4 linked regions of the Lepisosteus oculatus genome follow. The protein of the gene in region 3 purifies or fractionates together with the protein of the main gene of each other region. This does not show direct contact. Links are inferred from orthologs where the notes say so. Each region holds a gene or a part of one and is shown on either strand. Other genes may lie near its edges.

Region 1 (7,588 bases), on a different chromosome or scaffold from region 3:
CACAAGGGATTGGTTCCTGGTACTGCAGCAAATACCTGACAGAAGACAGTAATTTATACCCCAGGTGTAAATGAAAGAACCACCCAAATATACTGTATATTGCAAGACATGGAACACATCATTAAGCAAATAATGAGGAAAATACAGCTGATACAGACCAACCCACAAAGCTCATTAACATTTTATCAGCTTACCTTTGTGCTATTAGCCTCAGCTCATTGGTCAGAACGTTGGCATCTGATGTTATCCCAGCCACACTGCACGCCATATCTCTGCAAAAGACAACCATGGGGATAAGCTTTTAAGGTTGTGTAAGGAACTTCAAATCTGACTTTTTCAACAATCCGTCAGTTCTTTAAAGGTAATTTTTTATGTAATTTTTCTTTGAAATAGAAAATGCAATCGGAAAAGTAGTCAATCGCTCCCAAGTCTCTTTATACTACTCGACGCAACTATTAATACAATAGTTTACAGAAAATGAAATGAATGACATTTATGTAAATATTGTTTCAGAAACAGAACAAAAAATTGCAACCATATCCACCTGCCTATGATAAAAATAGAAAGGTTAAGAGATCCACTTCAACAAGTAACAGGAGTCTCTCCGGAGATCACTGATGCTTACAGACTCTAAGAAAATCTTACTATGCCAATCCAAGCAAGAAAGCCAAGACCAAAGAATATAAATACAAGTAAGCACGAGTGTATTTAGGACAGAAAACAAGAAGCATTTCTTCCATTCGAATCTGGTGTGGAGTCTGTAGTGTGTCAAAATGACAACATCATTTGCAGGTGAGAGAGGACCTTATCTGCTAGTCTAATTTTATCCCGTATGAGTACAGGAGCTGTTACCAGACAGCTAAGTTAAAAAAACAACTGGCAATCTCAAACTGGGCAACGTATAAGAAAAACGTTTTATTAGATTAAACCAACAATGCTCTTAAACCTGATAAGGGGGGTTATAAGGGACTTGTTCACTTGACAGACTGTGTGATTGCTAAGCAATTGTCTATACAAGCACTTGCATTTCAAACAAGCACTTGGAAAAAACTCCAGTACATAGAAATGTGAAAAACTTAGGTTCTAAAATAAATCCTCTGTTACAAATACATTTTTTAAGGGCTTAACATGTTTTGTAGACAGAAACTACAACAATGTAGTAAAACCTGAATACAAAGAATTCATGTAAACAAGATTTTTCTGGGTAAAGACAATAAACAAAAAACTCACTCATTCAGCTTGTAGATCTTCTCTGAGAAGAACACTTCATCTAGAAGTTTGTGAATGTTTCGCCTCTCTGCAGCCAACAACACACCATCATTGGCCAAAATCCCAAGGCAAGTGCCAGCGTGCCCAATCGCTTCCATGGCATACTCCACCTGGTACAGACGGCCTGCCACAAAATCACAGCTCATCAGGCAGGGAGATGTGGAGACTTGAAAGACAATCCAACTACAAACTGAAAATTGAGGAAACTCTGTTTCCCATTAGTTTAAAATGGTCAACGTTGGTTTGTGGAAGACACAATGGTAAACACAAAAAAAGCCACGTAATTTAACAGACTGGTTTGTAACATGCTTCTCTTTATAACTCCTTCACATCTGCTCAAAGTTAAAAGGCAAAATGAAAAGAGAAACAATAAAAGTAACAGCTGTTTCCACACATCAGTATCATTCGGCTACATATTTCAAAAAAGTTTCGGTGGTCTTCATATTAATAATAATTAAACTACAAAGACAGCAAACCTCACAGAAAAACAAATACTTGCCTTCTGGTGAGAAAATAGTTGTCCGAGAGTCATATCTGCGAGACTAAAAACAACAACAACATTAATAACCATTATCTTATTACCTGCTATGCTTTAATTTGTAACTTTCCCAGAACCTAAAGTTGAAGTCCCAGTTAGACTACCCAGTCTCATTATAAGCAAATTATCTCTTTAAAAACAACATTCCAAAGTGTTTTGAACACATTAGGACGAATTAAGCTTGTTACAGGCACACTTTACAGCAGTGTACTTACCATCCTGACAAGGACTTGTCACGTAAAATCTGCACACACAAAAAAAAAAATACAGACATTAGATCTGTTTTAATAAGCATGAACAAAAGTCGTTTGGAAACTGTGAAGAAGCAACCAGTAGCAGAAACCATGACAAATAAAGGAGCTTAGTTTTTAAAAATTTGTCTGAGCTGATTAAACCTGCTTCAATGTTGATTATACGATAATAAAAGCTTCGCACAGTTGGGATTTAATACACATTTAAGCCCAATTAGAGTATTCATGGTCTATACAAAAAATGGTTATTAACACAAATCAATATTTATTAATGTATTAGTCTTCAGCAGTCAAGGGTACCATGAAAACATTCCAGTTATACTAACAATATGCACAACCATTCAGGCGCAACACACTGTCTAGTCAACAGTAAAACTTGTCCTTATCCTCCAAAAATAGAAAATCTGCAGTACAGTGGACTGAAAAACGTGTAACATGTTTATATTGCTTGCAAATCATCGCATATCGTCAAAGCTAAAGAAAACGAAACCAACAGGAGCTAACCCATAATGACAAAGTGGTTTCCAATACCAGGAGAACACATTAAAAAACTGAAATATATCAAACATACTAAGTTTACAAATACAGTCACATTAGAATCTGACTCTCTTCTGAAACAAAGAGGCAAAATCATGAAAAACAATAAGCTACATTTACACAAGTTACAGCACACTAGACTTTGCCAGCATGATGAAGCAGGAACTACAGAGCATCATTCACGTAGGCCAAAAACATAAAACTACTAAGGTTTCTGAAAACAAGCGTAATGAGCCATACAGTCTCGTAATACGATCTAAGCGCCCAAAGCAAATTGCGTTTAAAAAAGCTAATCCGTTTTAAAAGTAAATGTAATTTTATATTTTATATCTTACAAATGCTGCTCAGTCAGAATGTTGCCGGGGACTACCTGAAATGAAACACCGACTCATCCAAAAATAAAAAGAGCGCACTTTCCATAACTTGTGAGCCAAGTTTTATTTTGGCGCCCCCTAGTAGCGTGGATGATTCAACGCAAACTATGAAAAAACAAGAAAACGCAATTAAACCAGCAGTTCGTACAACCACTACTGAGGGATGGCACCTTTTTAAGTTTGGTGTCCCCGTCACTATAGTGGGACATAGGACCCACACAGACCGCAGGGTGAGCGCCCCCTGCTGGCCCCACTAACACCTCTTCCAGCAGCAGCCTTAGTTTTTCCCAGGAGGTCTCCCATCCAGGTACTGGCCAGGCTCACACCTGCTGAGCTTCAGTGGACCGCCAGTTGAGTTGCAATGTGATATAGCTGCCGGTATCCCTTTAATTCCAATGTCTCTTTATTTTTTATGTCAGTGTTAGGGTATTTATTAAAAATATTGTTTGCAAACTGCATTGTATTTCTCTAACTCTATGTCTAAATTTATTTGCAACGCACAGTTCAGTAAACAATACGCAAAGAAGATTAGCAGAATTGATTTAGACCACCTTGCTCATTTGATAGGTGGAAGCTCATGAATGTTTTAATAAAACCAGGAAATTGGCTTTGATACAGCAAAAACGCTGGCAGATATTCATCTTTCTTCACACAAAGTGCCTTTTGCTTTCATTACCACTATTTACCCTTAACTCATTAGATGCTAAGCAAGACTGGGCCAGGTCAGTACTGGGAGGAATGGGGAGAACTTCAGGTAAATCCAGTTTACTGTTGCAGGTGGTGTTGGTGGACCAGTACATGCACTCTTCCCATCCTGACCAGAAATCCCACACAAACTCCCCAGCGTGGTAAATGGGAGACAGTGCACTGTAGAAGGTGCCATTTTATAGACAAGACCTTAAACCCTGGCCAGAACCTGGATGGGAGGCCTCCTGGTTCTTGGGAAAACCAAGGGTGCTGCTGGAAGAGGTGCTAGTAGGACCAGTAGGGAGAACTCAACCAGCGGTCTGTGTTGTCGTAATGGCCCAGTGTAGCTAATAGGAACATTATACTGTAAAAAAGGGGAGCCATCCTTTAGATGAGATGAAAAACCGAGGTCTGTACTCTCTGTGGTCATTAAAATTAATAATAATTGCTTTCACTTATATAGCACTTTTCTGGACACTCCACTCAAAGCGTTTGACAGGTAATGGGGATCCCCTCCACCAACACCAGTGTGCAGCCCCACCTGGATGATGCAACAGCAGCCATAGTGCACCAGTACACTCCCCACACATCATCTATTAGTGGGGAGGAGAGCAGAGTGATGAAGCCAATTCATAGAGGGGGATTATTAGGAGGCCATGATTGGTAAGGGCCAATGGGAAATTTGGCCAGGACGCCAGGGAAACACCCTTGGATTTTAAATGACCACAGAGAGTCAGGACCTCAGTTTTACATCTCATCTGAAGAATGGCACCTGTTTACAGTACAGTGTCCCCATCACCATACTGGGGCATTAGGACCCACACAGATAGCAGGGTGAGCGCCCCCTACTGGCCCTACTAACACCTTTTCCAGCAGCAGCCTTAGTTTTTCCCAGGAGGTCTCCCATCCAGGTACTGACCAGGCTCACACCTGCTGAGCTTCAGTGGGGCTGCCAGATGTAATCTGTGGGGTGATATGGCTGCTGGCCTTGAAAAATCTCAGGTCGTTAAATTATTAATAAAAAAAAAATGATCATCATCATAAAAGTCATTAAAGATCCCATGCCATGTCTTGAAAGAGTATGAGTATCAACCCCTCACCTTCTTAAAAATTCCCACTTCATTTCGCACTTCTCCTGATCTGCTGTGCAGTGCGGTCGCTGATACATAATGGCACATCATAGAAATGAGCTCCCTTTTGTGTGTAAAGCAGTTTGGGATCCTTTGAGATGAACACATCTATATATATAATATGTACTTTATGCATGCAAGTATAAGATACTTGCAACCTGTCAACATTATAACCATGTAAGTCTAGATATAATAATAATAATAATAATAATAATAATAATAATAATAATAATAATAATAATTGCTTACACTTACAGAGCGCTTTTCTGGACACTACACTCAAAGCGCTATACAGGTAATGGGGATCCCCGCCACCACCACTAATGTGCAGCATCCACCATCCACCAGCATCCAGAATTAACGCTGTACAAGACCATTATAAAACCATTCATTCATTTGTATGCAGCAGATACAAATAACTGCACATATACTGAAACAGAAAAAATATTGAGGACAGTTCCTTTCTCTCTGAAAGTAGGATGGGTTAACTCACACTGATACATGGATGCAATCCAGAGCAGAACTTAATTCTTTTGCTTTCATGCAAGACAGCTGATAAGGGCAGAATTTAGCAAATGTAATATCCATTTCAGCGTTTCTTCTGGCAAGCAATTATATAATAATTTTATAAACGGTATCAGCCAGATTAAAATGATTGCAAGGTAATAAGCAGTTCAATTTAATTAAGTAACGAAGATCCACTGATACTACACTACCAAATAAAAAAAAAAGAAAAATATTTACAATACAGAAATAATTGCATTTCAGTCTTTATTAAAATGTATTTACATTATCAGCAACAGTTAATAGTTACATATTTAATACATTTTGTACAATACTTATTTTAATAAGTACTCCTGATAGGCTTGTGCTGTATACATGCGGTTCTGAAACTAGACCAAGGAGACTGCTGTCAAAATCCGCTTTGGCAAACCCCAGAGACTACTGTAAGTAAAGCACCACGCCACACATACAGAATTCTAAGTTCATGGCTACGTCTAAAAGTTACTGCACTTTCATGGTCTTTTCTGTACAACGTCGCTAGAGAAATATAAAACTGTACCAGTAAACTGTGACCACAAGAGCAATGAAATGCGGCAGCACTGCCACATTGAAGGCAGAATTCATTTAATAATAATAATAAAATAATAATAATTGCTTACACTTATATAGCGCTTTTCTGGACACTCCACTCAAAGCGTTTTACAGGTCAGTGGGGAGGAGAGCAGAGTGATGAAGCCAGTTCAGAGATGGGGATTATTAGGAGGCCATGACTAGTAAAGGCCAATGGGAAATGTGGCCAGGACGCCGGGGTTACACCCCTACTCTTTTCGAGAAACACCCTGGGTTTTTTTTAATGACCACAGACAGTCAGGACCTCAGTTTTACACCTCATCCAAGGATGGCGCCTGTTTACAGTATAGCGTCCCCATCACTATACTGGGGCATTAAGACCCACATGGACCGCAGGGTGAGCGGCCCCTGCTGGCCCCACTAACACCTCTTCCAGCAGCAGCCTTAGTTTTTCCCAGGAGGTCTCCCATCCAGGTACTGACCAGGCTCACACCTGCTGAGCTTCAGTGGGTTGCCAGTTGTGAGTTGCAGGGTGATGTGCTGCTGGTTTAAGAGCTTGACTTGACTGACGTACTGAATAAAACCCAGAAAGCAAGACTAAACCCCAACTTCCCAAAATAGTTCAGAAACACACAACCCACGTGAACCGATTAAAACAATGGTGTCTGAGGAGCAGCAACTACTGGTGACGTGGTTCATCACTTTCCAGTGGGACTGATTATCACAGAGCAGAACCTGGAACTGCAGAGGACAGCATAAACAGTTACTCACACTTCTAAAAACTCAGAATAACACACGTGTCTTGGGGAAAAAAAGAATTCCAACTGGTAAAGCTTATTCTGCAAGGCCATGTCAAAGTACTTTTAGATAGGGGGGCAGCTTTGGCAGTCTCGCCCGTTAAGGAATATCGAACAACATGCCAGATATGGGCCTAGCTGAAGGTTATCCGGATGGCACAGACAAAACTCTGAGGTAACAGTAACTGACACTGCATATTATTTGTTTTTTAAACAATGTGCAGTGATGAGCGATTTCATTTACTACTTTTGCAACATTACATACTATATAAACACAAAACTAGCATTATCAAACTGCCAGTAAACAAACAATATTAGTGACATATGCCAAAATGTCAAGAAAAGTGCATTTAATTTGATATTTTACCCCCCTCGCATTAATAAATGAATTTGTCAACACCAATGATATACACAAGGAAGAAAGGCAGGAAACAAAAAGGTTTAATTATCTTGAATCTCTCTGAAAGTGCTATGAGGATTTAGATCAGACAGACTCCTGTAAAACCTGTTCTAACGACAGTGATCTGGCTTCAGATTTTAAATTGACACATTCTTCACATCAATATGAACTATTAAGGAAGTCAGTCGTTCTTCTCAGTGATTCAAGACATACACAAACAGTCCAAAAAATGATTTCACAGTTACCAAAACAAAGTATATTGGATATGTTTCATGTGAAAGGAAGGCATCTGGAAGTGATGGTATGGAGAAAAGAAAACATGGACAATGTTCAAGCTGGATCTTGAGTTTTCCATTCAAGGTGTTCTGGCAGTCAAAAGGCCGTCCACTTCTCATTTCTACAGTGTAACTGTCTTGTTGTCTGAAAGTTTATATATCTTAGGATTCTTCATTTAGAAGAAGTGAATCACAAAATGAAAGTATGCTATAATTTGCATAATCTACAAACAACTCAGCAGATACAAGACAGCAC
Region 2 (7,279 bases), on a different chromosome or scaffold from region 3:
ACATTAGCTAGCATTACAGGAGAATGGTGCAGTTTGCCTGACACAACAACAAAACAGCCATCCTTATCTGAAATAACATCGGAAGGCATAAATGGCATAACATTTACTGTAGCAAGCCAAATCACCATTCAGGGATACTCAAATTCACTCTCCACCACCGATCATTTGATATGATTTATAATCTTAGGCCACGTGACATACTGACTTTCTATTCATGTTAGGAGCTCTCTAAAGATAAAAAGCACAAACTGAAAATATATTTCAGGGAATACATTATGCTTTCATAAATCCTGGAAGAGATGAATGCTCTGAAAACATTGCTATGTTGAGGTTCAGTTCAGTTTAAATGAAACTGGTGATTCACCCCTTAAAAGGTCAGTAGCTGTGACCCAGTATTGCACAGCAATACTTGAGAGCAGGAGATGAAAAGACACATGAATGCTCTCGATCCATCGCTCCTTCTGAGTTTGTGTAGGATGATAAAGACTTCTATATGAGCCTGATAGAGGACACATAAAGGTGTCTGAGAAGTCAAATGTGAAAGATTGTAGAAAGACGCTATTAGAACTATATTATAATTTTAAAAATATCACATGTAAGATTATGAAAACAAAAGGATCATCTAAACGGTAGCAGCAGTCTAGTGGACAGTCAGCATGATTTCTGAAAAAGCATGTGCTGGAAGTAGGCTTTCAAAGATATAAATAACACCACAGACAGGACAATAATGCTCAGAGTGAGATGACGTCATTAGTTATTAATGTAACTGTTAGGACCACTGCTATGTCTAATTTATATTAAAAACTGGGATTCTAATACAGTTAGTAAGGTTCTCAGGTTTGGAGACAATATCAAAATAGGAATGTTATCAAGTACCATAGTAAATTTAAAAGGATTTGCACAAAAAATCAAGACAGATCAAATGCTTGGATGAAGTACTAAATATACTAGAAGAAGAAGTTAATATGCACAATGCTACATGGAGGCTGAAAAAAAACAAACCAATGTAAGATGAGAATAACTGAACCAGAAGAAGTTACTCATGAGGTAGGCTTGGAGGCTTATTTTACCTTCATTTACATCTTTTATACAATTAAGCAAATGTAAATTAAACTGCAAAAAGTGCTATTACAAAGGCTAACATGTCGAGATGGCTAAGATATCAAGACGTCTCAAAATGTTTTACATTGGAGGTACAGTAACAAATTAGATGCTGGGAGTTTCTCAACATCTGGATGGAACAGGATAGGTTGCTAAAGGCATCCAATTTTTCAGTTTGGCACCAATGCTGTCTTGTCACTACTGAGCCGCAAGAAATATTGTCACATCCAGGTTTTAATACTTGATGAGCAGCTAGCAAAGGCAGTGACAACTAGATCTGTGTCTTGTGATTGCATGAGCAAAAGTGTTGAAGGCAGAAATGCGATTGAGCAGAACTAGCAGGGCCAATGTACCCAAGTCTGAGGGCACAAGGAGGTCATTAGCCACCTTCACCAGAGATGTACTGTACCAGTGGTGTGAAACTGACAGAAGCCTGAATGAAAAGGTCTGGAGAGCTTGTTTCTCATTAAATGATCTTGCAGTTGGGAAATTGCCACTTGCTGTAGGGCATTGGCTAGGAAGGGAAGATTTAAATGGCAGGTAAGATTCAAGGGTCTCTTCAGTACAGGTGTAAGTCCAACAGGTTTAAGTGAAGATGGCAAAATACCCAGATACAATTTGTTGATCATCACTGTGATAATGGGGCCAAAGACTAAAAACCTGGTACACAGTGAGCTAAGAAAGGGATCAAGATAACAGAATTTATATAGACAGAATTAGACAGAACTTTACCACAAAATTACTCTCAGTCAGTGAGGAGGGTAATTTGTGATTGCTGTTGATTTGAATTGGCAATAAACTTGATTTTTTATATTGTTTACTTTTATACTTTATCACTCCCCCATTATGTCATAATCTATTTTTACTTTTATAATACTGTATGTATACTGAGAAAAAAAATGCATCATTTATTGCCTCTCTTGTAAGAATCTTTTCCATCTCCCTCTTTGGCAATTTTACTCCACCTTTACCAGTTGTTCTCTTTTTTTACCTTAGAAAATGGTCATGATTTCCCAATAGTTCTATCACTTTTTCTTTAATTGTTTCCTGGTCCTTTGAAAATTAAAGTCAATACAAGTCCCCTAGATAGTGCTTTTAAAAAACATGTTAAGAATTCAATAACAATTTCAACCATATTAACATAATAGAACATTATGTTCACTGCAGATCTTGCTGATCTCATCATACTTGCACTGATGTGTGCATTAGGAGGTTTGCTTTTTACATCTAGTGTTGTCCTTTGACAATGGCTGGAAAAATAAGATATTTTTGAAGTTTTAGTTGAAGTTTGTGGTGTTGCAGCTCTCTATACCAAAATACCCACTGGTAACTACACAAGGCATAAAATAACACTGCACTGCCGCACTGTCATACAGTGCAATCCATGTCACGGAAATGGCACTTAAAACAACTAAAGCAGTGAACATGCACCCAACTCTAGTAATAATTGTATGCACCATAACCCTTTTGTGGCACATTCTGTAGATTTAAGGCACTTGGAAGATGACCAGCGAAAAGCTGTCAAACAAGTGTTATATGAAGAGCCTACAGTTTTTGCCCATGAAAAGGATGACATAGGTTGTGTTCTGAGCTTACAGATGGGAATTACTTTAAAAGATGACTGTGACAGGCAGTCAGCATGAGTCAGCGCCTAAGAGGAACCAGCTGTCAGCCACTGTGCTCCTTATACCTCCTCCCTGTTTGAGCTCCTTGCCCCTGGATGGAGCAGCTAGGTGAGGTGGAAGGGGAGAGGGCTCCATGCACCAGAGCTCTGCGGGAGAGACGGAGTGAGAAAGAGACAGAGGATCTGGTTGTCAGACAGACTGTCGGTCCGAGATGATCTGAAATAATCTACCGTTTTCTTTTTTGCTTTGGAGTAAAAGAAACCTGAAGCTCCTATTTATTTTGAAACCTGAACTAGTGCCATTGCTTTTATCTACTCTGAGACAATGACATCCCTGTTCAGAGAACCCAAGTACTGTATAAGTGCCACAACTACACTACCGAGTGCTGAGACAATACATTCAAGACCCGTTGGCCAGAAGATGGATAGTAAAGTCAAAACCTTTTTACTCATCCCCAGTAGAGTGTGTCCATAAGAAGGATTGGACTTTATGGCTATATGTCAATTACAGGCTACGTCAATACCCGACAGCCAGACCAACACCCACTGCCACAGATCCAAGACCTGACAGATCTTTCGGATGGTTCTCACGTGTTGATCAGCGCAAGGCTTACCACCAAGGATTCCAGGAAAGGGATCTTGACATCTGACAGCACTGACTACGCCTTGGGGGTTATAGGAGTGGGTGCAAATCCCTCTGGGGCTAAACAATGCACCTGCAGCCATGCAGCGAGCGGAACTCTACCACACCAATACACAAGACTACCCAAGGATTGCCAAGCCAGTCTAGGAATTATTCCAGGATGGCTAGCACGAGAGGAACATCCTCAAAAGCTTTTCCAAAAGGAAGTACAGTAGGCCCTGCTGTCATCCAGGACTCATTAAATGGACTGAAGGGCACAAGAGTATACTTCTGAGACTAATATATCTGTTCACTGGTCCCCAGCTGGTATCCCAGCTTCAACTTACAATTCATACGGCACACCAATGTATTTAAAAGGACTTGGAGCAGTACTTTATCACTGTGACAGGGTGCCTGTTTTTTTCAAATGAATGTTAAATACTCCAAGGCCTTTCCATTATGTTTGTAATTGTGTATGTGATAAGTACGAAGTGTGAATGGTACATACCCCCCACCCCTTTCCCTCAGATCACTGAAGTGTTCTCCATTGTGTTGTGTTGTGTTGTATTGGGCCACCCTTCACCTGTTTGCGGTTGGTTCCCAGACTGCCACACCAGCAGTACTCAAAAAAAATTGTTGATCTTAAAGGGAAAGGTTACTGGGAAGTCATCCATAATCAACTGATGTGTGTCTCTTTTCCTTGCTTAAACAAATTAAAACCCTCACGTGACTTGGTTAAAGTTTGTAAGCTGGCAACAGTTTGTAAGTTATCTTTGGAACTATATTAAATTATTTTATTTGTTTACCAATGGTCCACCACTATAAGAAATACGAGTAAGTCCCTTTAAGGGGGGGTGGCCCATGGAAGGAGGAGCTATAAAGGGACTGGGGGCACGCAGCAGGTGGATGGTCTCTTGGAGGGAAGGTGTGCTGAGAGGAGCCTCTGTGAGTTTTGGATTCTATTTGATCCTAGTTTGAAGGAAATTAATCCAGGTTTGCCTGCACTGGAGGACTGCTGTTTGTTAATTAAATCAAACCCAGTTGCTTGCTTGGTGACAATCAGGCACAGAATGGGGAAAATGAGGCCCACTGAGTCTTGAACACTACCACTGGCTGAAAGGAGCTCCATGCAGAAAAGCTTGAATTTCTGTAAACAGTCTAATGCCATTCTGTACTCTACACATGGTTGGGCCTCTTTCACTTGTTTTGTTTAAAGCATTAACTGGCAATCAGAATTATCTGACTCCTACACCATCTGTGTACTGCCTGTTTTCATTAAGTATGCTTAAAGTAAAGCTTTCTAGCTTGTGGGCTTTTATCCCCATTATTAAAACAGTGGTGCCTTCTTTTTCAGCTTGTAGCAGATTTCACAGTGGTGAGGTCCTGCCATGTCAAAAGACATGAATTCTGAAAAAATACACTGACAAGGCAAGGTGGGAAACTGCCTGTGACCTTCTTTGTATTGGTTCCAATATTTATTTTTTGCTAATTAATGTGAGATTTATATTTTAAATTTGAAGTGAAAGGCCCTGAATGTGAAAATGCTTGCAGTGCTGTGGGTTTTCACTAGGGGCCTCAGTAATGTGCATGTGTTTGACATGTTTCATGTGGATACCCCAAGTGAGCTGTCTGGTCCTCTGGTTAATCTGTGCCTTCATGGACAACCTTTATATTAAAGTAATTCTATTAATGATTGGGTGTTTAAATTCTATAGTTATATTCAACTATTGCTGATGTTTTAAAAATGAATAAGAAATTGTTCCACCCTGTGCCTCCCTAAGGATTGCTGCATTTAATCTGGTCAGCATAAATATTTAAACAAGATGGTCTTTTTTTGTAGATGTAAAACAGCTTAAGCTATTTCTATCACAAGTACTAAAAGCTGTTGCTGGTTTGTGCTTTACTACAGGGGAAACAAATTTAGCAAAACTAGATTTGCATTAAAGCAGTTTCATCCATATTTTTAAGTTAACAGAAATTGATTCATGTAATAAGACTTAAACGTTTTTTTGAAGCTATGGTATTTAGTCGCGCTTTGTCATTTAAAAACCGTCTTTTTCTTTAAGTCGGAGAAAAAATGTTTTCGGCTCACATTGTATAGTTATAAAAATATTATACTTTTTAGCGGAACTGTGGCAAGATGTGCTGATAAATATTTATAATAAGTGTTGCAACACTTATAGAGAACGTAAACCACCTCTAGGATGTTTTAAGTTGAGGAGAAAGTCGCAATATTTAATTATAATAAAGTAACAGGTTGATAAACAGTTTCTGTTCTGCGCTTGTGCGCTGTTTCCCACATGTGGTAGTGACTTGCACCGGAGCAGAAGTCTTTTCAGTTTTTTTCAGCTCCCCTGACCGTGTGTATATTTCAAGATTTCCGTAGGATTGTTTTGCATACATTTGGCCGAACGTAAGCAGAAGGTAAGATGCGGTTTTTGTACCTTAAAATTCTCACGAACCCTTAATCGAGCCTGGCTGTAGAATCCTTCGTGGCCCGCTGCACTGGGAGTTGGTGGAAGCCCCGAGCTCTCGTAGTTCACTCGCCGAGCGAAGTGCGGTGTCGGCAGGATCGAACTGGTTTCGGTAGCGCTGTTAACTGCGAGCCGTCCAAGCAGGAACGCTGGAAAGGTAATTCCATATTTCCTTAAAATGCGATATGGACACTGATTTTTCAAATAAAATGCATTTTAGAATATTTAAGAAACCCCAGTGTAAGTGTTGGGTATAAAATACCGTCAAAAACATCTTTTTCCAGTTTGGGGCAAAAGGATTAACCGATTTTAATTGAAGGTCGAGCTTAAAGGATATTTATCGAAAGTGTAAATATAGAAACCTAAGCTTGTGATTTGTTCCTTGCACAATCTTTTTCTTTAAAAACTTTAGTTTAAATTTTAGATTCCTTACCGTCGTCTAGAGTTTGACATTTAAGTATCGTCTTTTCCGCAGAAATTAAGTGAACAGCAGTAATAAACCCATCAATATGTATGGACTTAAAACTTATACTTGAGTTAACAAGACAAACGGGATACCAAAAATTAACCTGAGTGTTTAGTCCTGTAAGTCATGAATGATGTGTATATAATCTTTAAAATGGGTTAAAACCATTTTTAACTGATTTGATTCTTCGAGAACTGCTGAAGAGCATTAAGTTGTTTCCGTCAAAACCTTCAAACTTCTGTATCATTTAAAGGGGAACCAAGGCCATTTTATACATTTTGGGGTTGGAAAGAATCAGCAGGGATGAGTGCATTTCAAACCTGAACGAAAGTAAGAGGTGTACACACAGGAACTTGTAAAACCACCAATTTACACCACAAAATTGACGAAATTTCCAAGGGTGCGCAGCACCCTATTCTGCGAGTCAACAAAACTTCGGGTGACCTGATGCAGCCTTGTTGCATCTTATTGCGCCTCCTTAATCCAATGGACATATTGCTCTCGACTTCGGGGTGGTTAACTCACTTGTTTACTCTGCAAGCAGATCAGGTTGGGAACGTGCGCGGCGAGTGAGCTTCTGCACAACCTGCACTTAATTCATCGCAGGGCATCAGTCATCCTGACGAGCGAGCGGACAGGGCCGTACCGCGTCACGGCTCTCGCCCGTGGCGTGACCAGGGGTTTGCCACACCAAGGGGACTCACGATTGTGCTTAATTTGGGTTTTGTCATTTTTTTTACACCGTTCATTTATTTTGTTACCAACATTTTAATAACCAGTTTGAGAAATTGGGCCTGCGGTCCCTCTTTAATTCCTTTGTTCTCACCATTTGTTTTTTAAATCTCTTTTATACACTTCCCTATAAAAGAGATGCTCGGGTAGGCTTGAACTGCTGTATGAAATAGTGGAATGTGTCATTGAGCGTGAAGTTATCATGGTCCATTTTATTTTTCAGACCTATCCAGAAGGTGACTATGGCAGCTGAACCCATC
Region 3 (7,952 bases):
TCTTACTCAAAATAACCACATTTTGGTACGTTTCAACAAAAAAATAAAATTAAAATGTTCATTTTCCTACCCACTCCCAGGAGTTCCACAGCTAAAGTAGTTCTTCCATTCGGTGAACTCAGGACGGATCGCCAATCCAGGAAATAGGAGGAAACTAGCAAAGTCTCACTTGATGTGTCCGTCTTGATAAGAACCATGTGAACGGGATCACTAACAGACAACATTGTTGTGGCATCTGCCATCTTACTGCCGTCACCTAGAAACAATTAAACAATTAACAACCTGAGACCCTTCAAGTAGTTAAAATACACAACCCTCTAGTTCTGGGTCAAACACGATGTGCCAAGCAGTGGCCTCTCTGTGCGTGCCATAAAGGTGGTTCTCATGATTTCAGAATTAGTGTGCCTGTCTCAGTAAGGCAGCAAATGTCAATCAAAGATTCAACCATGAAGACCCAGGAGCTTTCAAAACAACTCATGGATAAAGCAGTCTAAAGGCACTGATCTCGAGAAGGGTTTGAAAACATTTCAGAGACTCTTAATATCTCACTGACCGCTGCGACGTCAGTCTGTAAGAAGTGGTAAGCACCCAGACACTGCCTAAATCAGGTTGCCTCTCCAGCCCTGTAAAACACATTCCAGATCCCACAGGAGATACTGCAAACACGTGGCAAAAGGTTTGGCGGTCAGACATGACAAAACTGGACTTTTTTTAGTCTAAATGCAAAGCGTTGCATCTGACGCAAACCCTGTTATAAAGCAGCTGGATACAGCCGCAGGTGCTACTGGAATTAACCCCAAGTGCAGGAGAGCGACAGAAATGTCTGAAGAGACCTGACTGATTGAGAATTGAGCAAAGTACTGGAGAATTTGAGAAAAAAACCTGCTTTAGACTTACAATTTGGGCAAAATTTGTCCTTCAGCAAGACAATGATGCAACACATAAGGCAAAAACTGCACAGGAATAAGAAGGTGAATGTCCATAAGTGGCCCAATCAAAGTCCTGACTTGAATCCTATTGAGAATCTGTTATTTAAACATTTCTTTTTTAAACGTGATAAGTATCTTGAGAGAACATGAGCAAATCTGCCAAGAAAAACAGGCAAAAACTGCACTAAGCTGGTGTGTAAGGTACCGTAAGAACAGACCACAGCTACAGCCAATGGTGCTTCCTCCAAATATTGAGTTCATGAGCCTCCACTCAATTACTTTTGCTGACATTTACTACAACCTATCTTACCCTGAGCATTTAGCTCTTGAATAAAATATTAAACTTAAAAAATGTGGATCCATCACTTTGCATATCCGTTCTCATTTATACTGTACCTGTAGCCACACCCCTGCTCAAAAGATGATTGTCTTGAGCATCTATACGAGTATTGATTATCTGATGTGTTTCTAGTTATACTGTCTGCTGCTGTAAAATAAACTGGCGCTCAGGGATAATAAGGACTCTCGCTTGTGTAATGATGAACGAAGGTCCCAGTCTGTTGCTGCGGAAGACGGCTCTGACCTGGACCCTCTCTGTGGACTTCCAGCAGGAAGCCCTCCTGGAGATCTGGCTCACAGGCGCAGGGCACAGGCTTGGAGCGGAAACGCTGGTTCCTGAAGTGCAGGTACAGGGTGAATGTGGAGCACACCTGCCCAGGTAATGGCTCAGGCTCCTGGAGATGCTCCAGAAAAGCCTTTCCCCCAAGAACCTGCAGGTAAAGGTACCTTCTTGTTGGGTCAATGTTGGCTGGAAAAGAAATTAACCTCAATTAGGAGACGCCGATGGGCCATTAATGCGATTATGGAGTTAGAATTAGGCTCATTTTAAAGTAATCGATAAATAACAGTGACAAAAGGATTACTTCATGTTCACACTCAGTAAAAAAATCCCATTTCTACTTTTTAGTAAAGCAAGGAAGTACTGCACGATAGTTTTGTAGCACAAGCGAACCGTTAAACCAGTATTTTCGGAGTCAAAAAGCTAACACTAACGCATACCCTGAAGTAAATCAGACTGCCTATTGTAAGATTTTTTTTTTTGCCTTTATGTAATATGCCATTAAAATGGTAAATGGTAATTTCCAGTTCAGTTCTTCCAATTTAACTGAATGGACCAAACATTATTGCACTGCATATCGTTAAAAGTCTTTCTTACTTTTCTTGAGTTGTGCTGGCTCCTTGTCGACAAAATGTGTTGAGGGTTTAGGAGTAGAGATGGCCTCTCTGCTTGGCAATTCCTAATCCAGGCCACACACACAGAGGGAAGGGAAACAGACATCAGGAGATTTCTTCACGGGGGGAAAACATGTCACCCTTATACAGTATCATGTACTTAACAGCACACTTCCCAACAAATAAGTGTCCTTCCTTCATTATTAAGTAAGCCCTCCTTACTGTCCCCCAAGCCCGTCTACATTGTATGGGCGACAGGGCCTTCTCCTGCTATGCCCCCAAGCTCTGGAACTCTTTGCCCAAGGATATCCGAGAGTCAGCTTCTCTAAACTCCTTCAAATCCAGACTCAAAACCTTCTTCTTCAGAAAAGCCTTTACTTAACTGGTTCCATTCTTCACCCCTCTGCTCTTCTTAGTACCACCTTCCACGGTCTCCTCTATTGTTATTGTTGTAATTGTAATTGTGTCTTATCTTGTGAAATCTTCCTATTTATTGTTGTAGTCTTCTTATTTATTGTTATTGTCATCCTGTAAAGCGCTTTGAGAAGCCACCTTTAAAGGCGCTATATAAAATAAAGTTTATTATTATTATTATTATTATTATTATTATTATTATTATTATTGAAAACATAGATACAGAGTTAAAATGGAAACAACCGAAAACAGAGATAGTTTTCTGCGTCGGTAAGATACCGCGAGATAAACTGGATTGTAATCCTGATCTGAATCAAACACTCACCTGCACAAAGCTTAGGTCCTTCATGACATCATCGACGATCCCCCTTCGTTGCAAACCCCGTATTAAGTCCTCTTCCGAGAGATTGTGATGTCCAGAGCCCAGCTCCTCCCGCACGGTCTCAGCCAAGACATCCCGGATCTTCCCATGGATATCGATCTGCACATGCATCCATTAGATACATCCATTAGATACACCTCCTGGGAAAAACTTAGGTTGCTACTGGTAGAGGTGTTATTGGGGCCAGCAGACACTGCAGTCCATGTGGGTCCTAATGCCCCAGTATAGTGATGGGGACACTATACTGTAAACAGGTGCCGTCCTTCGGATGAGACGTAAAACCGAGGTCCGGACTCTCTGTGGTCATTAAAAATCCCTGGGCGTTTCTCGAAAAGAGTAGGGGTGTAATCCCGGCGTCCTGGCCAAATTTCCCATTGGCCCTTACCAATCATGGCCTCCTAATAATCCCCCTCTATGAATTGGCTTCATTACTCTCTGCTCTCCTCCCCACTAATAGCTGATGTGTGGTGAGCGTTCTGGTGCACTATGGCTGCCGTCGCATCATCCAGGTGGTGGAGGGGAGTCTCCATTACCTGTAAAAGCGCTTTGAGTGGAGTGTCCAGAAAAGTGCTATATAAGTGTAAGCAATTATTATTATTATTATTATTATTATTATTATTACTTCTTTATCCCAGAAAGGGTGAGAGTATTATGAATCAAACTACCCAGACATTGTGTTGTAGCCTGTACCCTGGCTTCAGGCAAGAAACGGCAATCAGCTACTAACATAAGAGGTGGATTGGACCAAAGGCCTTCTTTCATCTTCGCTGGAATCAAACTACCGTAGAAGATATGTGAATGATGAAAACAAAAATTGTTTACACTGTATCTTCAAATAAACGCCGCATACAGCTTGAACACGATCTTGATTAAAATTTTCACATTAAAATATGATTTCTCGTGGTACATACGCCCATTTTCTGAGTGCTAATACAGTAGCATGCGTTAAAGCTTAGTCGCACTGAACCTACAAGAAGCACAGTTCTGTACCAAGGCCTTCCCCAGTGGGTCTGCAGAGTGCGATGATGGTTATCTGATTATTTCGAAAAATGCTTGAGTTGATTTCAAATATTTTTTTTTAAGAACTGTAGGCCAAAGGAACTATTTAATGTTGGCAACTACAGAGTCCGGAATTTAAGAGATCAGACAACAATTCAGAACCGTGGACAGAGCACAGCAATCGGGCAACTAAAACCAGGAGGAAACCTTACCGACTGAATGCTCAACCTGAAGCCGAAAACATGACAGCAGGAACAGCTTAGAAAGACGGACTGTTACCTGTCACATTAGCTACCTGTACTTTCACTGAAGTGGCCCATAAGTATCTTCGAGTGCTACAACATTATTCCCGCAAACTTTAAGCTCCGGACTCGTTTCTTTGGAAAGTCTGGACGATGGGTTAAGATCATATTATTTCTCCAAAGCATGCAGGCGTCTCTGGTGAGACTAATACTGTACTCACCTTTGTCAAGTGGTTGTGAATGATCTGTTTCAGCTCAGAAGCCTTTTCTGGTGGAAGAGACATGCTCACAGAGGACGTCTACTGTATAGAAGTCCCAACGAACAAATCGTTACTTATTTAATTACGTGACTACTTTCACACTCCCCCTGCTTACTTAAATTGAAACTGGTCAAACTAAAAAAAAAGGGGGGCTGATTTCGCTTTCCAGGTTTTCGAAAGCAGCAGTCTGAACCGTCAAGCTCGTCTCCTCCCCACAACAACCAACGAGCAGACAGAACTTTCAAACCGTGGCGGAAAAGCCAGCGGGAAGCCATCCATTGTAGTGCCCGACTTAATCTTGCACAAAATAAAATGCAGCAAAGGGAAATAGCACACATATTACACCCAATTTATATATTTGTCCATACTTTTTAAAGATAATGACATTTTCGTTATATATTTTGTGTCTAACAAAAAGTCATTTTAGTTTTCATCAGGCACCATATAAGTCCACCCTCAACGTAACAGACTCCAAGCGAGCGTCATGTCAAGGAAGGACCCTGGAAGTAGCATGGAGTTGTAGTGAAACGGAAAGTTGTCATTCTGTACACATTAGTACAGTTAAAAATCATTTTACCGAATTGTCTATTTTTCTTACTCGCAAACATGTTTATTCCGGTTGGGTGCTCAGCGCCCTCTTTCAAAGAGTTTACCCTTATAATGGTAAGTTAGACGTTTTACATTATGCTTAATGTTGTTTTTTTCTAGTTGTTAATTTACATGTTAAAAAAGGGCTTATATATTTTTCCGTTCCTTTACTTTGCTGTTATCCTGTGGTTGATTGTAGCCGGCGGTATCGGTGGGAAACGTGGGACAGTTTGCAACAGACCTGGTCATTTCTACCCTTCACATGCCTCGAGTGGGCTATTTCCACAGTGACTGTCTAGTACCCATGGTAGGAAATAATCCCTATGCCACATCGCCAGAAGATTCATCTGAACTCAGTACAAATGCCGAAGGTTAGTATGTGGACGGATTCTGCTCATCAAAGATACGTATATGCATCAACGCGTCTGGATGCAACGAAGTTTAGATTTTTTAGATAGCCCGTACCAAACTGACACAGCTTGTCTTGAATGTGTGGTAGTTTTGTTGTAGTTCTCAAACTCTTGTAAATAACCGATCTGCTGTGTACTATAGCAGGTTCAGGCTATGTAGTGATTTAAGATCATCCTTAAAATGCATAATAATTTGCATCTATAAATTATTATTGCATCTTTAAGTGTTGTAGATTTAAATCAATACGTTTATTGAAATAATATGTGAATTTCATGCTGGACGTACATGTAGTCCACCAAAAGAACGTTCAGTATTCATCTGAACTCACACTTACAGTGGATATTCTTTTTCTGATACAGGCCAGAACATAAGCTTTTCTAGAGAAAACCAGCAAATAATTCACGCTCACGTTTATTCACTGTCAGTTTCTACTTGTGTCCTCTTGTTTATTCTAAAGAAGACCACTGGGTTGACTTTGTCAGTGCCTTTGAGAATGTTTAAAACTTGGTTCAGGTCCCCTTGTAGTCTTCTGTGTTCAAGATGAAAAAGGTTCAGTGCGTGTAGCCTGTTCGTATAGGATATTCCATTCAGTCCCTGAATGTCTGGTGGTTCTTTGCTGGACTGATGAAAGAACAACAAATGATTTTTTATGATGTAGTGACCAAAATTGTATGTAACATTCTGACAATTCAAGTGCTGTGCCTCTTTCCATATAAGTCTGCACATTCTGTGTTACAGATGTATTTAGTACTGTATATAGATTTAATGATAAAAAGTTACATCCAAAGAAATGTCAGTGGCATTTTCTGTTTTTGTCTGTGCACAGTGTACTCTTTGCCTGACTTAAAGCTGGCTGTCCTTCAGATCCGGGCTCCCATCATACAGGTAAGAAGCTATGGACCAGAGGCTAAGTAGGCTGATTAGATGAATTAATTAGACTAATTAAGTCATTAAGGGTAATTAACCTGTCTAAGAAGGTAGACGGAGTAATTAACTCCACCACAAGTAGGACTACTATATTTGTGTAGAGCCCCACCGAAGTGTAGTGAATGTTCAAGAAGAAAAGTACATAAACCTATAATCGCACATTCAGTGCTAGTGAAGTCGCATTCATTATATCACTTTTATTGTATACTTCTGCAGCTTTGTTGGCTTTCATAATAAGTGTATTATAATAAGTTACAATGGTCCATTCCTTTGAGTTTAAATTATGGGTAGTAAAAAAGCTAGTTCAGGTGGGTAGCTGCGTCAGATGCGTAGGCTGCAAAGGAACAAGTAATAGGTTTATTCCATGCTGGAAAAAAAGAAGAAAGAGAACACAACGTTTCGGCCGTGGAGCCTTCTTCAGGTGTGTGACCTTGGTGTGTGACCAAGCCCAGACCTGAAGAAGGCTCCACGGCCGAAACGTTGTGTTCTCTTTCTTCTTTTTTTTCAGCATGGAATAAACCTCTATTACTTGTAAAAAAGCTAGTCTGTCATTTTGTTAGTACAGCTTTTCTGTGACCATTCAACTTACAGGAATAGGTCTAATCGTTTCTTTCTTGCCTTATTAGACGAAATACAGGCAGTTTCGGAAACGTGTTGTCTCCTGGATCAAGACAAACAAATTCTCCAAAGTTGTCCTCCTGTCTAGCTGTCATGCTCATCATCGGGATGACCGTCAGCTCCTCAGGTGAGAGACCTCTCATCTTTAATCTTCGGTTTTATGTCATTTTGTCTTTCTCTTCTCTGTGATGAATGTAGTATTTCACATTGATGGCTCTTTGACCCAGTAGATAAAAACAAGTGGCTAGCAGATTTACTGCTGATTCTGTGTGGTCTTTCAGCAGCACAATGTTGAGGGGAATAAGAATAAAGAATAAAGCAGACAGGCAGAAGCTTTAGTTCGTTTAAACCTTTTCTTCCCGATGTTCTGGATGGACAATTATCCTGCGCAAAGTACCTTTAACCTATACCTTTAACGCAAAGTAGCATTACATTAGTTGAATTGTTGTGTAGTAATGTGTGGTATGAGCAATGTTCCCTCTGAGCTGTGGGCGGGTAAGCGCACGCACAGGTTACGAGATCAGCACACATAGGAAATTGAACTGCGCACAAAACATCAAATAAAAAAAAATGATGATAATAAAACAAACACGGTCGTCAATTGGAAAATGCTAAATTGACCACATGGGACTGGCTGAGAGAGGCCCACCTTGGCTGTGTGCATTATTACTGCTCCTCGATCATCGATATCTACGCTCTTGAAGTCTCCTTCCTCACTGCTCGTGCTCGCTCCACACTCAGCCTCTATAACTGGGCTCGTTGAATCGCTGTCCTGGTCTTTTGGATCTCTATGCTTATATGAGGTTGACTATATTGACAAAAAAGAAATATTCCGTCCTCTGCTTCCAGCACTCCTCTGCGCTATTTGCTCACTCCTGCCCTGCAGAGCGTTGTCGGAGATGGACTGCAGAAGCTGGACTGGAAAGAGATGGAGAAGGTGTCGGCTTTT
Region 4 (7,720 bases), on a different chromosome or scaffold from region 3:
TAAAGAAATCTTTTCACTGTTTTGTCTTCCTTGTGTGTTCATGGAAACAAACGTATTCAAAGGTTTAATGTGCTTTAGATTTAACAACATTAAGTATTTGGCAGAAATCCTGAAGGCATCCAAACTGGTATTAAACATTGCAGAGGTAAGTTCAACTCATGCCTTTATATACTATCTTTCACCAGACAATACCAACATGCTATACAAGTGGCACAGCCTTACGTCCATGATCATTTTAACTGAAAAAAGCATACTGTTAATGAAATCAAAGTCTGACACCCAAAATACTAAATAAAGAGAGCAAACAAAGCTTTATTAGAAATCTTTAAACGATAATTTGATTCTAACCATGCAAAATACTTTGTCCTGTATGGTTAGAATATAGCAAAAAGAAGCACATTTGTCTTATGTCAAACAATCACACAGAGTAACGTGAATTTTTTTACAGCAAACCCGTTTTGTATTCCACCATGACATGGGGCTCCCCCATGACTTCACTTTGTGCTGGATCTGCGAATAAAAAAAACACCAAGTTGAAATAAAAGCCGTTGGAGAGTGATTCTCAATATCAATCTAAGCCCAGCTGTCCACACACAATGGTCCCCTGTGTACCCCTGGTGGTTTCTGTTTACAGAAAAAAGGAAACATTGCCTGGAGTAAAATGGGGGTTCAGCTTCCAGGAACTGTTAATGTTTAATGACCCAACGCCATCCTTCAAACTGCTGTAGGGAGTTCTGAATACTTACCGTTCAATATGTCCTCAAAACCAACGTACTCGTCATTTCCTCTGAGAGTATCTAGTGCAATGTTTGAACTCTGAAGGAAGGGCAAACGCTGTATCTGGAAAAGCACAGCATGCAGGATATTGTTATGGGTACAATAGATACAAACAGCTTTTGAAAGTGTGACAGAAAAAAAAGCATAATGTCATTTATCACTAATCTCCACTTGACTTCAAAGGATGACATTTTGCAAAGGCAGATTCTGATGTTCACCTTTAGTATGGTTATTAACTTAACCAAGTGAATTTTGGACTGAGCTTCTTAAACATATGTGTTCTAAAACATACCCCCCTTCAAGACAGCTGGTGAGAGGGTACCTGTTTTGCTGCCTTGTACTCCATCTGCAGTTTCAGAGGTGCATGAAGTCCCTGAATGTTCCTGAGCGTGGCAAAGTTCATCTTGTCTTGATTGAGCTGAAACTAGCAGAAACGAAGCAGCGATGTTAAATGCAATGTCTGACATAGTAGCACTTCATAGAGCTGTAGTTTATTACAACATGACAACCCGAAAGACACGGGAACTATGGCTATTTTAGGAAAAGCACCAAGGGCTAAATCAGGATTGTAAAGCTGACAAAATATGATTATATATATTTTATATTATCGGTCTGCCATCCACTTTAAGAATCAACTTCAGTAAAATGGTGCTTAAATGTAAAACTTCTCGGTTACCAGTGCACATACCAGCTGAAACACTTACGTTCTTCTCGGAGAGCTCCAGGGGGTGGGAGGGCAGGAGTTCGTTCTTCACGCTGGAGAAGCTGAAAGCCAGTGACAAGGACAGAAAACTTCAGACTCTATCAAAATCTATTTGCTAAAAACACCGTTGCAACTTCTAGTTTATTCATACATGTTATGGCCTAGCTCTGTAATGACGTAATCCAATTAATTAAAGTTCCTCCTCAAAAATAAATGAAGTACTGATTCTACGCCATAAGAAACAGCTCACATTTTTATCCTGTAAAGCTGCAGTCACAATTAACGACTCGTGGGGCAGTCAACAGGCTCTTTCTTCAGACCATGATGGGATGGGTTTCATTTTAAAAAGAACAAGCAAGAATGTTTTTCCCGTTCATGAAGAAGTCAAATCCAGCGATGGGAAGGAAGGGACATGTCGGTCTGAGTCTGAGAGAGGAACCACGAAGATCCAGACCGCGAGTGAGATACGGAGCGGTCACTCACCCCTTGCGCAGTGTGTCAGGTACGCCATAGGTTCCCGACTGCGGACACAGCCCTGTGACGGGGATGCTGTCCTTCAGCTGTGATCGAAGACCTCTAGTATTCTGAAATACAGCAGTGCCCCCATGAGCAGCGCTTGGCAGGGACTGTCAAAGAACTGTGGGGCAGCTTAGTCTACTGTCCCACAACACGACATCGCCCGTTAAAAGATCAACCGCAGACTGACCTTGATCACAATGGTTCTCAAATGGAGAATCTCAGAGACCGCTCAGGTGTGTAAGCAATGCATTTCACCCCAAATCCAATTATTAATAAATCCTTGAATTTATATACCTGTCCAGAACTCTCCCAGTGTGAAAGCCTGTGATGTGACAGTAATGATGAACAATGACCCTATTCATCCCATGTACTTGTTGTGTAGGAATGAGAGGACTCAGTTCACCCGCCCGGGTGATGGACAGTAACCTCACCACTCCAGAGCGACCCCAGGGTTAAAGTGACTCCTGCAGGGAGTCAAGATCACCGACAGGATTTGGGCATTTTACCGCGACAGTCGGATAACCAGTGTCCCAAGAGCAATGATACTGCAAATCAGGACCAGAGCACTTTCAGTTTCGCGTCGCTCCGTGTATTCACAAAGTACGCTTGATTGTCACGTTGGTAACCAACAAATCTTTAAGACTGATGAGTAGATACCACATTAGTGCCTGTTAATTCAGCAACGCACGGGAATAAACAAGGCCCGAGACATATTTTGACGTGAACAACTGAACTCGCGGAGAGCAGTGACTAATCAAAACTCAGCTAAATGAACCTCTTGTACAATCACGTCAGCTTCAGTGTAACGCTGACAAAATCCGTTAAAAGTATCTTGGCTTAAGAGCAACATGTAAATCACACGTTCCCTATAACAAGAGATTTTTAAATAAAAACTCATCTCACCATACTGATCCGGCGGCTTCTTTCTTCCTAATGACCCCACACCGAGTACTTCCGGCTCACCGGTACCCCTCACACGTGACAAATGACGATGCTTCCGCTGATGGCAGCTCTGAAAAGTCCGAAACGAAGATAGAAATCTTCATCTATCAGCTTAGAAACAATTAAGTTTAACTTTGCTTTCATTAAGTACTTGCGGGCAACACATAGTTCTAATATTACAATTTTTAAAATTACATTAGAAAACGGCGATACACACAGTTGATTTGTATAGGCCATCGGCAGGCGTTTCGCAGACAGGGGGTATAGCTCAGTGGTAGAGCATTTGACTGCAGATCAAGAGGTCCCCGGTTCAAATCCGGGTGCCCCCTCTTTTTTTTGTGTAAAATTCAAAAACACCATCTTTTTACATTATTATTATTATTATTATTATTAAAATAGAAGGGATCATAATTGAAGTGCTTTTTTGGTTTTACATGAACCTGTATAAACACAACTGTGTACTGTCAATCCAGTTTTTTATTCTAGTTTAGGACGACACCCATATAATACTAGCACTGACTCATACATTTGACACATCTCAGCATCCAGCACAGAGCACAGGGGTGTTCCCAGTTCTTACTCATTCTGGAGGTGCCAGGGAGCAGGCTGCAGACTGCTGATGCCTTGATGTACGTCTAGTTTACTGAGAAACAGACCCTAGAGTCAGCCGGCCTCAGTGAAACAGAGGATCCACAGACATAAGACACAAAAAAGCTCCACATACAGCTTTATTAGGAATCAGCATGGAAAATGACAGTGTCTTGGGGCAACGCGTGTAAAATATTGAGAATTCAAACATGGGGGAAAATAATTTTCATTTAAAACAGGGACAGGTCATATGAACGTGTACTACATTTTCAGACCTTCGTTACCATTGATATATCTTGTTGAAAATAGTACCCTGAAGGAACAGATTAATCACGTTAAATATTTACCCTGATGAAGAGCCAGAGCCCTTCAGTTTTCACCATCAGAACACCATCAGTTTTCTGGCACGAACCGAAACATGAGTAAGCAGGGGAAAGCTGTCATGGCCTCCTAACGGGAGAGCGCTGTACTTCGGTGCACACTGGACACTCCACTCCTGTCTGTCTAAAGTGGCAGCTGCTTTATCTGTCTGCTGTGGGAGCCGTGCTCTGCCATGCTAGCCCTGGAGAGCAGGGGGGTGCTGTAAGACTGGTACTGGCTGGAGACGTGACAGGTGAGGGCGCTGCAGTCGGCGGCTGCCTGACTGCCCTCCCGGGAGAACCGCGTGAACTCGCACTGGTCGTGCTGGGAGACGACGAGCCTCGAACCTGTAACAGAGACAGGCCACCGTGTCAAAGCGCTGGCAGCAGAAAGGGCTGTAACACAGCATAACATAGCAACTCCCACGCAGTCCTGCACGGAAAATGTCTTTTGCTTAGAACTCCATGTGGTTTCAACTACAAAGCAGAGCTTTCTCACCGCAGCTCTGACAAGTGATTTATTTAAAGTATTTCTTTTGAATTTGACAGGGGTGGCAAATCGTAGTGGGTTACCCCCCGGACTCAGCCCCTGCCCCAGATAGAGGTTCTTTACCCCGGCTGCTTCAGTCCAACTCAATTTATTATGTATTATTCAGTCCAACATGTATTATGTGGGGAGCAGCATGCAGGACGCTCCCTGTGATGGACTGGCATCCCCTGCAAGGGGAGTCACATGCTCGCTAGTCTGCTTAATGCTGCAGAAACCAGGATGAACTTTATCCCGAGGAGCTGATGTGTCTCTGGGATGGACTTTAATTTTAACTACAGTACTTATACAGAGTACTAGACACTGAATTCAGTCTGCAGTCTGCTTTCTTCTCATTGTATCACATCAGTTTTCTAAAGTTCTAAATCTTCAGTTTTCTAAATTAATTAAAACTATAAATTGTTGTTATAGAAAGAAAGTGTTTGAGTTCAATATTTGGTCTTCAAACATTAAAAAATTATGACTTGAAAAGAACAGAAATAGTTTTGAACGAGAAGAAACTGAACTCCCAAATGATAGCTTTCCAAAGTCTTGTGTTTGTAAAACACAATAATGGTCAAATGATCATACAACAATCATATAAAAATAATATATACATATAATATATTATATAAAAATAATGTTTAACAACTAGTTTCCAGCATGGGAGACAACCACCAGTGTAGTAATCCTTCCAAATGTTTAATCACAAAAAGGAGAAAGACAAGTAATTACAAATCTGGTAAACTTTATTCTACACTATCTAAAACTCAGAAGTATGTTATCAGGAATGTGTGTTTTTCATGTCTATCATTGTGTGTGTCAGTGCACACGGGTATTTTTCTCCAGTAATCTTCTTCATCATAAGTTCTCTTTTTTACCTTTATAGGACTCTGAAAAACCACTCATTGCTGTTTCCTTCCATCCATTCATGTACCTGAAATACAGAAAAGAAGACTAAACTAAGAGCAAAGTTTTTCCCATGGGTCTCATTAATTTAGTACAACACTTCCATTGCATTTATAAATACTGTACATTCTACTGCTGCTTTTCAGCAGGTATTCCAAAACATGTGGTCCATGTTTAACTCTAAGTGTTCAAAAGAGCAAGACGTTTCTACTGAAAGTCGATTGTGTGTATATGACAGAGAAAGAAAAGGAGACAGAGATGTAGAGAGAAAGGCAAAGGTGGTTCGCATAGAGCATGTTTGAAATATATATAATAGATTTATATCATAATATAATTATATTTAATCAAGCGACGCAGGAGTGCTGTTTGATATGCTTCAAATCCGTACAGCAAGAGAGTTTCTTGTGTTCAAATTGGGAAAAGGGGTGGGACTTGGAACTGACTTGATTTGATATATTCATGTAATTGCAGCACTAAACTGGCATTTTGACTGACATGTACCAGGACCTTCTGTGGCAGCACACGAGGGCAGGACACTTGACAATACGGCTGACCTGACCGCCAGGGAGGCGGGCCTGTGCGTCTGCACGGCGGCGACTCACTCTTCGAAGTTGAGGGAGTTGGTCCACTCCAGCAGCTCGTCCACTTCCCACTCCAGCACGTGGCTGGGCCCCAGCTGATCCACCGCCGCCATCATGCCCTCTGCGGCCTTGTCCACGAGCAGAGCCGCGTCAGGGTCCTCTGTGCGGGCCTGCAGGAGGCCGTCTTCATACCTGGGCAGTGCACACAGATGCCACTCATCAGCCAGCAGCGCCTTCTGCTAATGCAGGGCAATTTCTCAAACCTCTAGAATGTTTATGTGGAGCCACGGCAAGGTTTACTCCTGGCACCTGGGGAGTAATAAAACTCACCCCCTGAATTTGACCTAGTCAATAATAAACTCACATCTTTTTCATCCAGTCAATTTTCCTCTGCTTCCTCCTTCTCCCTACTTCCTGGCGCCTCTGGATCCTGGAGTAATGGAATTCCGTTTTCTTCGCGGCAGAGTCCAGTGTTACGGGGTCGCCCATTAACCAAATCTTATAACAGCAACGGACAGAAACACAAGAGCAGCGTATCACACCTTCGTGAAAAAGGAAATAAGTTACATAACGCAACTTCATTTTTGAACAAAGAAACAAGCAAAAAACCAAAATCGATCGAAGGGATTAATAAGTGGTCGGAACTTCACAGAAAAAAAGGGGTTATTCCTTTGCAAGTGTATACAATAATAGGACCTGCTCTGAGTATTTCCAGATTCTGTTATTCTTGTTTTTGCCGAGAATGTCATGTCCCATGCAGTGGACAAATATGTGCCTGGATCTATACAAAGTGCAAATTCAGTAATCACACTAATGAGGACCATGATGTAGCGCACTCTAGCAGACTAATACGAAGAGAAGAGGGGGTCTTGAGTTCAGGGATGAATTTTGGCCCCTTGGGTGTGGTTTACATGTCCGCCAGGTGCTCTGGTCTCTGAACGGCCCGTGAGCGGGCGCGTGGCCGGGTGGACGCAGGCGCAGGGGGAGAGCGCCCCCCGCAGGCCTGGCTCAGCAGTGCGGCCCCGCGGGAGGGCCCCGCCGCACCTTGCCCGAGAGGAGCCTCCAGCCGTTGTTCTCCTCCCGCCGGTACCAGCCCGAGCGGTCCTCCTGCCCCGCAGCCCGCCCGCGGTTGTGGATTTGCCCCGGCAGGGGCCGCCTGGCTGCGGGGCAGGTGTAGTCCTTGGGGCTGTTGGCGCACATGTCCACTATCGGGCGGTGCGTGAATATCTTGTAGTAGATGCTTGGAGGAAATTTTGTCTGAAAAGGGGGGTAAAAAACGAATCCTGAACACAAAAGAACAGCAACCCCACGTTTTGCATTCATCTGAAAGTGTGAGGGGTCGAACTGTTAGAGGTCACAGTGAAACCTTGCCACAAATAAAGACTAAAGCAAACATTTTATTTTTATAGACAAGGAGTTCTAAGTGTGCTGTTATAATGGCCAGAAACTGGTCAGAAACTGGCCAGCAGCCATATCACCCTGCAACTCACCACTGGCAGCTCACAGGAGCTCAGCAGTGTGAGCCTGGCCAGTACCTGGATGGGAGACTCCTGGGAAAGCTAAGGTTGCTGCTAGAAGAGGTGTTAGTGGGGCCAGAAGGGGGCGCTCACCCTGCAGTCTGTGTGGGTCCTAATGCCCCAGTATAGTGATGGGGACACTATACTGTTAAAAGGTGCTGTCCTTCAGTTCAGATGTAAAACCGAGGTCCTGACTCTCTGTGGTCATTAAAAATTGTCTAAAAAAGAGTAGGGGTGTTACCCCAGTGTAAGTAATTTTTATTATTATTCTCTCCCCAGATTCCAGGGTAGAGCTATCC

The links.
Region 1: the proteins of psmg2 (region 3) and psma4 purify together in Homo sapiens (affinity purification with mass spectrometry; 4 studies listed by BioGRID and IntAct, with this or other methods). This does not show direct contact. The link is inferred for Lepisosteus oculatus from reciprocal best matches to the Homo sapiens genes PSMG2 and PSMA4.
Region 2: the proteins of psmg2 (region 3) and psmg3 purify together in Homo sapiens (affinity purification with mass spectrometry; 4 studies listed by BioGRID and IntAct, counting the BioPlex papers as one, with this or other methods). This does not show direct contact. The link is inferred for Lepisosteus oculatus from reciprocal best matches to the Homo sapiens genes PSMG2 and PSMG3.
Region 4: the proteins of psmg2 (region 3) and pomp purify together in Homo sapiens (co-immunoprecipitation; 6 studies listed by BioGRID and IntAct, counting the BioPlex papers as one, with this or other methods). This does not show direct contact. The link is inferred for Lepisosteus oculatus from reciprocal best matches to the Homo sapiens genes PSMG2 and POMP.

The regions. Positions count from the first base shown.
Region 1 is NC_090700.1:60,551,296-60,558,883, forward strand, and holds the start of psma4 (proteasome subunit alpha type-4), read right to left. Parts: upstream 3,002-7,588; 5' UTR 2,931-3,001; exon of another isoform or gene 2,917-2,930; intron 2,052-2,916; 5' UTR 2,026-2,051; coding exon 2,023-2,025; intron 1,812-2,022; coding exon 1,769-1,811; intron 1,394-1,768; coding exon 1,231-1,393; intron 273-1,230; coding exon 195-272; intron 36-194; coding exon 1-35. UniProt on the Homo sapiens protein: Component of the 20S core proteasome complex involved in the proteolytic degradation of most intracellular proteins. This complex plays numerous essential roles within the cell by associating with different regulatory particles.
Region 2 is NC_090714.1:1,335,817-1,343,095, reverse strand, and holds the start of psmg3 (proteasome assembly chaperone 3), read left to right. Parts: upstream 1-4,260; 5' UTR 4,261-4,292; intron 4,293-4,701; exon of another isoform or gene 4,702-4,780; intron 4,781-5,686; 5' UTR 5,687-5,771; intron 5,772-7,242; 5' UTR 7,243-7,261; coding exon 7,262-7,279. UniProt on the Homo sapiens protein: Chaperone protein which promotes assembly of the 20S proteasome. May cooperate with PSMG1-PSMG2 heterodimers to orchestrate the correct assembly of proteasomes.
Region 3 is NC_090705.1:9,334,488-9,342,439, forward strand, and holds the start of psmg2 (proteasome assembly chaperone 2), read left to right. Parts: upstream 1-4,946; 5' UTR 4,947-5,065; coding exon 5,066-5,122; intron 5,123-5,246; coding exon 5,247-5,418; intron 5,419-6,284; coding exon 6,285-6,343; intron 6,344-7,011; coding exon 7,012-7,130; intron 7,131-7,852; coding exon 7,853-7,952. Other genes in the region: cep76 (centrosomal protein of 76 kDa), read right to left, coding at 71-256, 1,513-1,737, 2,146-2,227, 2,902-3,057, 4,421-4,483. UniProt on the Homo sapiens protein: Chaperone protein which promotes assembly of the 20S proteasome as part of a heterodimer with PSMG1.
Region 4 is NC_090700.1:1,688,831-1,696,550, forward strand, and holds pomp (proteasome maturation protein), read right to left. Parts: upstream 3,011-7,720; 5' UTR 2,906-3,010; coding exon 2,903-2,905; intron 2,065-2,902; coding exon 1,964-2,064; intron 1,543-1,963; coding exon 1,482-1,542; intron 1,202-1,481; coding exon 1,100-1,201; intron 841-1,099; coding exon 747-840; intron 511-746; coding exon 443-510; 3' UTR 286-442; downstream 1-285. Other genes in the region: c5h11orf65 (protein MFI), read right to left, coding at 4,034-4,236, 5,296-5,351, 5,926-6,096, 6,269-6,402, 6,949-7,161. UniProt on the Homo sapiens protein: Molecular chaperone essential for the assembly of standard proteasomes and immunoproteasomes. Degraded after completion of proteasome maturation. Mediates the association of 20S preproteasome with the endoplasmic reticulum.